Coturnix japonica: one gene and its partners. The protein of the gene in region 2 interacts with the protein of the main gene of each other region in a pairwise test. Links are inferred from orthologs where the notes say so. Each region holds a gene or a part of one and is shown on either strand. Other genes may lie near its edges.

The links.
Region 1: the proteins of VTI1B (region 2) and PTPN5 interact in binary tests that used the Homo sapiens proteins (3 or more experiments, as listed by UniProt). The two-hybrid records come from large-scale screens. The link is inferred for Coturnix japonica from reciprocal best matches to the Homo sapiens genes VTI1B and PTPN5.
Region 3: the proteins of VTI1B (region 2) and TRIM59 interact in binary tests that used the Homo sapiens proteins (3 or more experiments, as listed by UniProt). The two-hybrid records come from large-scale screens. The link is inferred for Coturnix japonica from reciprocal best matches to the Homo sapiens genes VTI1B and TRIM59.

What each region holds. Positions count from the first base shown.
Region 1 is NC_029520.1:16,692,550-16,696,126, reverse strand, and holds part of PTPN5 (tyrosine-protein phosphatase non-receptor type 5), read right to left. Parts: intron 2,285-3,577; coding exon 2,124-2,284; intron 438-2,123; coding exon 324-437; intron 1-323. UniProt on the Homo sapiens protein: May regulate the activity of several effector molecules involved in synaptic plasticity and neuronal cell survival, including MAPKs, Src family kinases and NMDA receptors.
Region 2 is NC_029520.1:27,588,988-27,593,078, reverse strand, and holds the start of VTI1B (vesicle transport through interaction with t-SNAREs homolog 1B), read right to left. Parts: upstream 2,853-4,091; 5' UTR 2,847-2,852; coding exon 2,513-2,846; intron 546-2,512; coding exon 487-545; intron 290-486; coding exon 98-289; intron 1-97. Other genes in the region: retinol dehydrogenase 12, read left to right, coding at 2,900-2,994, 3,363-3,481. UniProt on the Homo sapiens protein: V-SNARE that mediates vesicle transport pathways through interactions with t-SNAREs on the target membrane. These interactions are proposed to mediate aspects of the specificity of vesicle trafficking and to promote fusion of the lipid bilayers.
Region 3 is NC_029524.1:19,665,757-19,670,044, reverse strand, and holds the start of TRIM59 (tripartite motif-containing protein 59), read right to left. Parts: upstream 2,854-4,288; 5' UTR 2,744-2,853; intron 1,101-2,743; exon of another isoform or gene 941-1,100; intron 869-940; exon of another isoform or gene 1-868. UniProt on the Homo sapiens protein: E3 ubiquitin ligase involved in different processes such as development and immune response. Serves as a negative regulator for innate immune signaling pathways by suppressing RLR-induced activation of IRF3/7 and NF-kappa-B via interaction with adapter ECSIT.

The DNA of each region.
Region 1 (3,577 bases), about 11 Mb from region 2:
ACAGCCATTTGAGCCCTATGAACATTGTGCCAACTCCTCTGCTGGTGAAAATGGTCATCTCTCATGGCACTGAAGTCCACACAGCTGTGTAGATTTTAATGCCAACCACGAACCTAACTCAGTTGCTGAGGATATTTGTTAAGGTTTTCTGCTCTACTAACATAAGCAAGACAAAACTACTTAGAACAGGACTACTTCCTTCCAAGAATGTTCCCCTAAGCCTTCATCGGCCTTTGTTCCTCTCCACTTCCCATTTGTTCCTCCTTAAGCAAAGAGAAAGTTTATCATTTTTCTTTTTCTGGAAAGGAAACAAGTTTTCTTACCTGTCTAACCGTAACTGGCAAGTTGTTCGCAATATGTCAACTATGCCCTCATTCTTCAACTGTTTACAACAGACACTAGTTGCAATAAAGCAGCCCGTCCTCCCGATGCCTGCACTAAGGGAGGAAAAAGGAGAGAGAGGCAGCAAAGATGTTAGAACGGCTTTGGAACTTTCATGTTAAACAAATGCCCTTCAACCACAGTCAAACTCTATTATCTCTTTCCTCCCTCCAAACTCTGATGGATGGGTGCTCTTGAATATGAAGCCTTAACTAAGGAAAGATAATAGCTCCAATGGAACAACACCATTCACACTGTGAGCCACTCACACAGAAAGGCTTCAGCTTTCTCTACTGCACATAGAGTGATAAAAATGGACTATGTGGGTACTGCCTCACGTAATGTCATTGAACTTGTAAAAATAAACAGTTAAGTACTGTTCCTTGGTTAGACGTGCTTTGAAGGCAACCATTGCTTTGAGAGCAACCTTTGCTTTGAGATTCTTAACCCTAACAGCTTCTTGGAAACTATTTTCATTCATATGTACAGTTAAAAACTCTAGCTTAAATTATTGGAGCTGACAGCAATATGATAAGTATGATTACATTTGCTCTCAAATCTGCATTCTAGTAACTCTATGAATTAGTAAAGAGATATAAGAAATGCACCAAAAATCATCTCGTGAACACTTTTGTATTTGATTCAGCCTTTACTATGTGACCAGAACCGATTTGAGTCTGAGATGGCACAGTGCTATGAAAGCTGTGTATTCTTATCACCTTATAAAAAACTAAACAGCAAATTCTGACAGACCTTCTTATACATTAGATAATTGTAATTACCTGTAAGAAATCCTGCTTTCATTTAAATTGTGCTCAAGTCACAACACAAAAACACTGGCAACAAATATACAAGCAACAATGGAGCCTGCAGAGAGCTGCTGCTAGCAAACTCTTTTAACACTATTTTTCTTTGAGTGCATAGACTTTTAATTTAGTGTTTATAGTTGTTAGGAAAACCAAACTAGTATCAGATACATTAGAATTATTTTAATTATTATTACAGAATGATTGAGGCAATTCAATGGAGATTTGCTGGATGAGTGTACTCCTGAAGAGCTGATCTCAGTCTTCAAGTAACTGTGATGGTAATATTTACATGATCTAAAGATTTCCTAGAAAATGTCATGCAAAATTAGGTGAAATTCCTTACAGAAACTCCAAAGGCATGTTTGGCAAAATGTACTTTTACTGAAATTATGGAAAATTATCCTGATAGCATTAGTACATTACATACCAGACTTCTCTTTATTTATCTGCAGTAACTGTTTTGAGAATTGAGTTGTGGTATTCAAGTAATCACATTTAATCTTCCTAAATACTAGCAAAACAAGACTTGTTTTTAGTCCTCTTTGAAAATGTATATATATTATTATTTTAGGTTCTCATTTTTTTCTGCTTTCATGCATCTTCCTACTCAGTTTCACCCACAGTATGTTTAGTTTTGGTAAAGTGGCACTTTTAAGATCATCAAATGCATATATTTCTGGTAAAGCAAATGAAACAAGGGGGTTGTTACTTAAAACTAAGCAAACAACAACAACAGCTTCTGTCTGCAGCTCAATCTGTATCTGCATGCAACAGAAAAATGTCATTAAATTTTAGAAGTTCCAAGAAAATTTAAAGCATTTGGACCAGATCTCCTTCACATCTCTGACCAATGGTTCAACATGGCAGCATCTAAAGCAGGCTACTGTATGCAAACAAAGCAGTCCTTAGAGTTTGCATACAATGCTTATTCACCTGCAGTGAACAATCACTGGAGCGTTCTTCTCTTCTGCACTCTGCATTGCCTCTTCCACTTCCAATACTAGTTGTAACAGAGGAGGAGCCTGATCTGGTGTCTTCTGGTCTGGCCAAGATGTGTACCAGTAATGTTTCAGGTTTCTGACTTCTTCTCCTTTCTGCAGTGCAGTTAAGACAAACATCACAAAGGTTTTTTCAAAATTCCAATTTTAAAGTCATGCTGAAAATTAAACTTTCAGAATAAGATGAGTAAACCTATGCTAAAGGAAACAACAGATGCAAATGACAAACCACATAGCACAGAAATCTGGACTTCAAAGACTGCATCTACACTTCAGCAAACTGCTTCAAAAAATAATAAATCCCCCCCCCCCCTTCCCTGAAGTACTCTGCTCTTTTAGCGCCAAGAGCTGTGTGCAAAACAGTCTGTTCCCTCTTGACAGATTCATTCAGCAGAGCTGGAGCTGTACTTGTGACATAATTGCTTTCATAATGTATTTGACAGGCGGAGAGCCAGGAACCATATCTTTGTCTTTGATAGCTAGCTAGCTAGATGAGGGATAAGAGATAGGAAATTATTTTTCTCTCTTTTCTGACAGACAGACTCTTACCAGTTTCCTGTCACTTACACTCCTCTCTTAGACATGGTGACAGATTCAGAGACACTGGAAGGCGAGAATTATATCTAGCTGCAGTCCGGGGCTTCTTATGAGATACGTCTGATTCCCTCCCTCTGAGTTCCAAGCACGGTCATGAATATAGAGAATGTGCCTTTTACCTTTTCTGAGTGCCAAGCAGCACTCAGTGCTTCTGGTTCTGTTCAAAGTGACATCCTTTTGCATGATTTCTAAAGGTGCCAAACAGTAACATACAGCTCAAGGAATCTGTCTTACTCATTCAGTCCTTGTATAAATCCTTTGGCACAGGACTACACAAAATATCTTCACAAGATCCAGAAAGTTATGTGTTAGTTTCCACCTTTCCTCAGACACATGGCCAAATAAGTTTAGGATGGGTAGGGGTGGGAGGAGAACAGAAAATTTGACACAGAGAACTGGAAATAGTTTTTGTCATCTAGACTCTAAAGTCCCTATGACTTTCAGTCAATGGATGATGAAAGTGCTCCATGACTGCCACCTTCCATCCTTCTCCTGGGCTGGAGAAACTCTGCATAGCTTCACTGTTAATCTAGATTAGGGAAATTATCTAATTAAAGATTCTTTTTCAAATGGATCAACTTTCCCCTTTGGCTTAAGACACAATTAAAATGTGACCAGTTTTGTGAGTTACCAGCATTCCATCAGAATTAAGCTGTATATTGTTCTTGCTGCTACACTGTACGTTTGGGATAATTTCTATTTTAGGCCAGGACAAGTCTGCAGCAGACCTGTAACTATTATTTACTTCCTGTTTGTTGGAAACCATGATTTTTTCCTTGCTACTTTCACTAA
Region 2 (4,091 bases):
AAAGCAAGTGGATTAAAGTAGAAACACTGTAAGCAATACATCTGAAACATTATCATAATCACAGAAGCTTTAAATACAGTTTCTATCAGATGCTCACACTCTGTTCATTTTCTGTGGAAAAGATTCCGTATTTCATATCCCCTTGACTTCCAGGGCCCAGTCCCAAATCTGTGCTTCTCATCTCCCTCTGGAACATGGAGAGGTCCCTTCTGTATGCCCGGATTTTGCTCATCATTTGATTGCGGAATGGTAGAGGAGCATACTTCAGTTCTTCTTCCATTTCCCGGAGCTTAAAGAAAAGAACACTTATTTTAAAGCATCACATTCATTCTTATAAACAGCTGTACCCAGAACTTACACTAGATGAAGGGATTCACATATTATGTTCACATAAGAACATTAAAGTAAAACTTGGGATACTGTCCTTTCTAGGGCAATCAACATATTAAGTGGCCAGAAAGGCCACAATTCCAGGCTTAAACTTACCGTTTCATTTGCTTCACGCTGCTTCTCATCAAACTCCCGAATCAGCTTTTTCTTCTCCTCTGCACAAGAAAGAGCAACACGTGAGATAAACCCCAACAAAACTAAAGCAGAACTTGAAATCCTGATTTCCAGCAAATCGGGTTTTTGCATCCTAGCAGTTCACTAAAAACAACCACTCAAATAAGACAAGCACCCTGCAGAGCTCTGAGATGGAAGACACCATCAATACACCAGATCAGGTTGTCCAAATACTTCTCTTTTCTGGAACCACACTGGATGTTAGATCAAAACACCTAAAACCAGCTCATCTTATGGATGTGCCGTGGCCACACCAGGGCCCTTCCCTTTCAGTTCAAATCCCCATTAAGCCCCTGAGTTTGACTTGTAGTGCACTTAAGATAGATAAGTTTAAACATAAGTTTAGCGCTGCAGGAAATGCTGATTTATGGGGTTCCTACATTGACTATCCTCAGCTCCTCCCCTGCTTTTCTGCCACGTACATTTGTGCTGATTCAACTGCTTGAACAGCCAGGCTGCTAGCAAGGACACGGGCACACACAGCAAGGAAACAACTTTCTAAAGTCACCATTCTGCTCACGCAGGACACTCCACTCCTTTGGTGAATGTAGTGCCCTCTTAGAACAACTGCTGCTGTCTCGAACCCATTGAAACCCGAAGCAGTGCTGAAAAAGCAGTATTTTACCCTCTTTGGGTGCCCACAATTGGATCAGTACAGCACTGCACTTCAGCCACAGAAACATTACCCACATGTTTCTCAGCATCTGTGAGATCTCATTTAAACCAACCGAAAAACAATCAGTTGAAAAAGGCAGTTAACTGTTTACTCAGAGAATGGGATCTATAGCAGAAACTGATCAATGCCATTTAAAATGCTTTCTTATAGGTTTGGAAGGAAGAAAACACTTGCTTCCAGACCTGAGAATTTATTAGCTTGTAAGATAACATTTCCACATGGAAGATGGTCCAACAATGACACATTTTGTCCTCCCTGCAGTCTGGGAAGTTACCAATCATCTCAAAGGAGTACACAGGACACCATCTGTTGTCCCACAGACTTTTCATGACAGTGTGAAAAATGAAGACCCATGTGGGCATGGACAGCAAAGAATGCCTTACAAATGCCTTCAAAAGAGAGATAAATTCCTGACTTCACATGAACTCCCTTGTTATACTTCCTTGGGAATATCACAGATCTGGGGACCTGGCAATAGTTTACTTTTGTCCACAAAACTGACAACCCTCCTTTCTGCAAGGAAATTTCTGTTCTTTGAAATTCAAGCGTTGTGGGGCATTTTTCAATATGTGTGAGCACGGTCTCTCCCCATTCTTTCCCCAGCAACAGGGTTGAGTTTGTATTTCAAGGCAGCAAAATAACCCTCACCCTACCCTGCAACCTCCTCCCATTAATTGTATAGAAACGATGCCCAGATTCCAGGGCCCTTCTTCACAAAGGGGCATCCCTTCCTTTATGCTTTTCCTTCTTGGTGACTGTCAATAAAACAAAGGCAGCTTTGAATCACAGAACTGCAGGGTTTGGAAAGGACCCCAGGGGATCACCCTGTCCAACCCACTGTTAAAGCCAGTTCCCTGCAGGTCACCAAGGAAAGCATCCAGGAGGGTCCTGAATATCACTGGAGGAGACTCCACAGCTTCTGTGAGCAGCCTGCTCTGCCTTCTGGCCTTGAAAGCTGCGGCCCATAGTTTTAAGTGCCTCCCACTGTACTTTCTGGAAACGAATAGGATGGTGACCCTGCATTTAACCCGGTATTAGACTGAACCGGGCAGCCCGGACACCGCACCCCTCACACCCAGCCGGTGCTTCCCCGCCTCCGCGCCCACTTCCCGTTCTCCGCTACGCCACAGCCGAGCGCTGTGCGCCGGGAGCGGAGCCAAACGAGCCCCTCGGCTCGGGCAGCGCCGGGCCGGACCGCGGGGCCTCGCCGCGCTGCGGGAGAAACCTCCGCGAACCCGACGAAAGCGCCGAGCCGGATCCGCCCCGCCTCACCCGCCGCGCCGCCCCGCAGCCGCTCCGGCACGGCGCGCAGCTCCCCGTGCAGCCCGCGGAAGATCTCGTGCAGCCGCTCCAGGTGCTCGGAGGACGCGGGGCCGCGCTCCGCCATGGCGATGGGCCGTACGGGGCACTGCCCGGCGCCGCTTCCGCCATCGGCCGCGAGGACCCGCGCCTGCGCAATGAGACGCCCCGCGCTGCCTGACCGCGGCACCGGGGCAGCCCAGGCGGAGCGGGGTCCTGGCGGCGCGCTGCCCGCTGGGAGCCGTAGTCGCAGCGCCGCCTCGTGGTGCTCCGCCCCGCCCCGCCCTGCACCGCCCATTGCTCCCATTGGGGCGGGGCGGCTCCTCCGGGCGCGATCAGTGCGGGGCGGACGCGGCGCGGATGGAGCCGTCGGCGATGCTGAGCTGCTGGGGCGCGGTGCTGGGCGCCGCCGTGTCCGTGCCCCTCGTGCTGCTGGCGGCGGCGCCCTACGTCAGGTGCGGGGCTGTGGGGCGCCTCGGGGGGCTCCGTGCCGCCGGGCTAAGCGGCTCCTTTCTGGGGGTTGGAGACATACAAAGGGCTTTCGGGCAGCGCTGTTACGGCGGTGTGCGGTTGGCGGCAGCCGGCTCGAGCCGCTCCCGCGGGGGGTCCGGCTCAGCCGAGCACGGGGCGGTGGGAGCCGGTGGCCCGGGTTCGCCCCACGGCGCCGCGCCGACTCCATTGGCCGCCGCGCCGGGAGCCGCGCTGTCAGCCAATGGCAGCCGTGGCCCCACCGGAGCGGGCGGAGCGGGCGGAGCGGGGTGTCGCGGTGCCCGGTCCGATGTCGGGCTCGGAGCCGCCGTCGAGTCCCGCCGCTCTCTTGCAGGCGGTACGTGGCCGGAGGGCGCTGCGGGTCCGCGGCCAGGCTGGACGGGAAGGTGGCGGTGATCACGGGCGCCAACACCGGCATCGGCAAAGAGACCGCCAGGGAGCTCGCCCGGAGAGGCAAGTCGGCGTCACGCTGCGAGCGGGTGCGGCTGATGCGATCCGGCACCACGCGTCGTGGTCTGCAGCCTGGGGCCGTGTTTCTAAGAGCCACATTCTGAAGGTCCTTCAGACAGGGCTGTAACCCCTGAGGTGCAGTTCCCCAGTTCCCAGCTGCATTCACTGCTTGAACCCTGACCCCGTGTCTCAGCGTGTAGAAATACTCAGCGCTGTGGCCACCTCGGGAGGACCAAGGAAGTGCCTGGAGTCACAGGGCTCTACCTTGTTTGGGGATGGGAAATGGCTCAGATCCGCTCATGGTTCAAAACTGGCTTAAATGTTTTTTGGTAACTAGCAGGGCAGTGAAAGTACCCAGCAATGGCTCTGGCTGGAGTCCAAGCAACCCTGCGTGTGTAGGCCCTAGTGCTCCCATACAGCCACAAATACAACCTGGTCATACCAGGGCTGCAGTGCACTCACCTCACCTGGGAGAAGCTGGACAGAGGCACTTCAGATGTGCAATCTCCCTGTCATAAAACAGGTCTGAGCTGGCTTGGAGCTAACAATCTACAACAAGAGTTGTTGTGCTTGTCAGCTGCTCCCCTGGACTGAAGTCAGTTCCATAGGACAC
Region 3 (4,288 bases), on a different chromosome or scaffold from region 2:
CACGGTGCTGCCAAGTGCTGCAGGGCTCAGCCATGGACACAGCTCGCCAGCAGCGCCATAAGGGGCATGTTGCACTCAGAAGTGGCCCCTCTTCTTTCTAGGGCAGGAAGATATTTAGCAGCAATCACAACACATCAGCTGCATCAGCTCCAGCACAGAACCTGCTCGGGCTGAGCAGAATGAAGTGCAGCTCTTCTTCTCACCCCAATACTTCGGCACACTCCAAAGTGAAAGTGCTCAACGATCACATTGCTTCTGCCCCGGAAAAGCAAACACAATACACAGAAATCTAATGGTTAAAGGCCATCGCTACCCAAAGCACCAAGTTCAAGTTAAAGGGGAGATTTATGTGCCGGTTTTTTTAAATAAGTCAACTTTAATCAACTTATCTTCTGAATATCATTTAGCTTTATCTACCTTACCTCAGGTCATTTTTTATTCCTGCCAGTTAATCTAAAATACCTGCTAGCTCATTTTAACTCCACTATTCTAACAGGCCACGATGGATGAAGGCACCCAAAAGGAAGAGATACCATTTCTAGAAGCACCTTTGGAACAGAACTGCTGAAGGACACCAGCATTTCTAACTAAGTGCACCAGAGCCATTCCCCAGCCACATACATTATTTTCTGGGAGTTAATTACTATGAGAAATACACCTACGTGTGTGCACTAATAGACACTGTCAGTTTGGGGGACGTCCCTTCCACTCTGCTGAATTTTAAGTTTTCATTTGTGGTTGGGAAAAACAATCCTTCACGGTATCATCATTATTTTCTCCTACACACATGGAGCCAATACAACTACAGAACACACAAGCTTCTTATGTTTGCAAACATTATTTTTTCCTCAAGTCCAGGGCTGAATTTCCCTTCAAATGAACTATCGCAATGTTCTTCATAAACAATAAACATCGACATAAAGTACAAGATAAAAATAACCTTCAAAGATGCTTTTAACTGCAAAGTATTTGCTTGCTCTCATAGAAGCAGAGGAGGAATCAGACTGTACATCAGCAGCAGTGGAAGGAAGGCAGGAGGTGGCAGCCAGAGACAGGAAGCGCCAAGGAAGGGAGATCCAGAGCCAGCAGCAGTTCAGCAAGGAACGAGAAAAACTGTTTCCAAGGGAAGAAATAAAAGGCAGGAAGGTGGGAAATGTTTTCCTGTCCAGAGCTTTGGCAGCAAATGTATGTACATACACACGCATTCATCACGGATGGGCCACTCAGTGTAAGCAAATTACAAGCTAGAAGACAAGTTGAAATCCGAAGTGTAACCAGGGCGGGAGCACGTTGGGTGTCTGAACGCTTGTAGCAACAGAACCACAGAGCAGCCGTCAGCTTCCCCTCCTGTCATTAGCAATGCTGTACGTGAGATAAAAGCATGTAATATAGCATACCTGCCACAGCTATGCTTTAAAATTCATTAGTTTGACATTCTTTGTGCAGACTTCAAGGGTCTAATTTATTTGTTTCTAAAAGCAAGCTTTAATTTGGATGGAACGAAGTAACGCAGTGTTTTCAATGACAACGCTGCATTCCTGACCTAGAGAGTCAGCCACTGCTCGTCTCATTAATTATACAAACACTCGTGCAGTAACTATTACATCTAGAATACAGCTCTGTGGGTAAATAGGGAACTCTACAACAAAAGTCAGCTGTAACAAGCTGGTAAACTCTTAAAAGGTGAATTTGGCACCAGGTAGCTGTGACCCTAAGCCAGTTCCAGTCAGACCCAGGGAGTTTGGTGCTGCCAACAGCTCAATGCACCCAAGCTAAACCAGTAACAGAAATGTTTGAGGTCCACAATACCCCCCTCTATCACTAGTGTAGAAGCCCAAGATTGCATTATGGATAAGAAATATAAGAGATTAAATGACACACAGGGAATATTTCCCACTTAAAGGTCACTGTCGTGGTGAAGCGTGGCAGAACGAGTGCTCGGAAAACAGAACAGGCTGAGCCGCAGCCCCAGCGTTGATTCATGGGGCTGAGCGGCGCCTCCCGAGCAGCTCTCGGTTCCGATGGAGGTAACAGCGCCGGCAGCGCAACCCAACAGCCACAGCTTCCAACTATCCATCCCAGTGAAGCCGGGACACGACGCCGTGCTCCAACAGCCCGACCGGCGTGGCAGCAGCTCTGTGACACCAGCCCCAGCTCCATCAGCCCAGCTCTGTATCCACAGAATGGCCTGGGATGGATGGACCTCAAGGATCATCAGGCTCCAACCCCCCTGCTGCAGGAAGGGCCACCTCCAGCTCTGTGCCCAGCTCCATCAGCCCAGCTCTGTATCCAGCTCTGTGCCCAGCTCCATCAGCCCAGCTCTGTGCCCAGCTCCGTGCCCCCCGAGCTGACGGAGGAGCCCACAGCAGCGTCCTGACACAGCCCCAGCCCGGGGTCCCCTCCCGCGGGCCACAGCCGCCCCAAACACCGCTGTGCGAGGTAGTTCCTAAACGAGCAGGTTTCCAACGTAAAGAAATACATCAACAACCACCGAGGTAACCGGGCACACGGAGGGATCGCTGAGGGCCAACCAGCAGAACGGCGCCTGCGCCCTCCGGCCGCGCTCGCTGCGGGCACCCGGCGGGGCTGTGAGGGAACGCGGCCGCTCAGCGCCGCCCGGGGCCGCAGCCGGCACAGCGCCCAGCCCGGCCCGCAGCCCCGCAGCCCCGGGACACCGCGGGTTCGGCCCCCCCGCCTCCCGCTGCCGCTGTTCGCGTCCCGCAGCCCGGCCGCCTCCTCTCACCTCCCCGCACCGCCAGCCCCGCACGGCGCCGCCGCTCCTCTCAGCGCGCACAGCTGCGCATGCGCTACAGCGCAACGGCCGCGACGTTCGAAAGTCAACGGTCGGCGCTGGGGGCGGGAACAGCGCGACCACCACAGGAACGGGAGGCGGAACGGAGCTGCTTACACAGCACGACTGCACCCGGGGTGCTAACAATGGTCTGACAGAAGAAATACAGATAGCTCATGTACACCACGCCACAAATCTGAGCTGGAATTATCGGGTTTTAGCAGTTCTTTGCACTGCCTGAATCATTTCAATCACCATCTTCCCTTCGATCACAGGTGGCCCCATCCACTGCCATGATGCTCAGTAAGACCCACCTGAGGAGAAACCCAGGCAGCTTCAGCCAGGTTGTCACGGGTTAGAATAAACACAGCGACTCCATTACAACCAATAATGGCATTTCTTTATGGAAATTGAGTTTCCAGCCACTCTTCTGTAGGTACTAAAGCAACGTTAACTCTTTCAATAAACCTTCAGAGTTTCACTCTGGCAGTGGCTAAAACTCGCTATTACCAAGAGTTTGTAAACTCAACACATTTTCTGCTACTAAGTTCCCTTTCATAAAGTCTATTTGATCCAGATGCATGACTTCTGTAATTGCTTCCAGCCTTGTGACCGGCATTCCTGCCAGTAATTTGGTGACATGCAGAGCTGAGGAAACGTTTATAGTTAAAAGTGGCAAAGCCTACAAGTATTAACATGAAGACATTCTTAATTATAAAACAGCAGAAGTAATTCAGCAGTTTAAGCAATAAACTATACGATAGGAACTGTTAACAAATACAGGCAGATTTTTTTGCTTTCAGGAAGAAAACACGGCTCTGCTTTCTTCCTTCCACATCCATGGCATTTCTGACCCCATGAGATTGTGTAGAAGAGGATTCCTCACTGAGGACATCAGCTGCTGTTACTCAGGACTAAGTTATCACAGCTGCAATTTGATTTTAATTTAAATAACAAGACCAACTCATTGCATGACCAAACAGCAGGAACAGACAACTTACCAGGGCTACTTGTGATCCACCAGCTGACACAGCCTCATGCATCCAACAAGTGGCCCTCCTAGACTGAAAGCCTTCACACAGTCAGGGCTATTCCACATCCAGGAATGGGAGAGAAAGAAATAGGGTCAACTTCTTTTAGGCTGTTTGTTCAGATGAAGCTTAGTTTCCTTCACAGAGCTATTCCTCCTAGTTAAACCAGCTAATTCCAGCCCTAAAACCACAGGCAGTTCTTTGTCTTACAATGCTGCTCCTTGGAATTAAGCTCCTACCTGGAATAGCTTACACTAGAAATTAACTTTTGACCTTTCATTGATTTATTAAACCTCTACTATATTAAATACGGCTTAGCAGCTCTTTGTACTTCAAAATACTGAAATGAGGCTAATGTACACCCCACCTCTGCATGTTTATTTTTATTAGAGCTGACCTGGGATTAAGAAGTTACCAACTGCATGATGACAATCTCAATATCACAGAGCAGCATTCTGCTATGGAA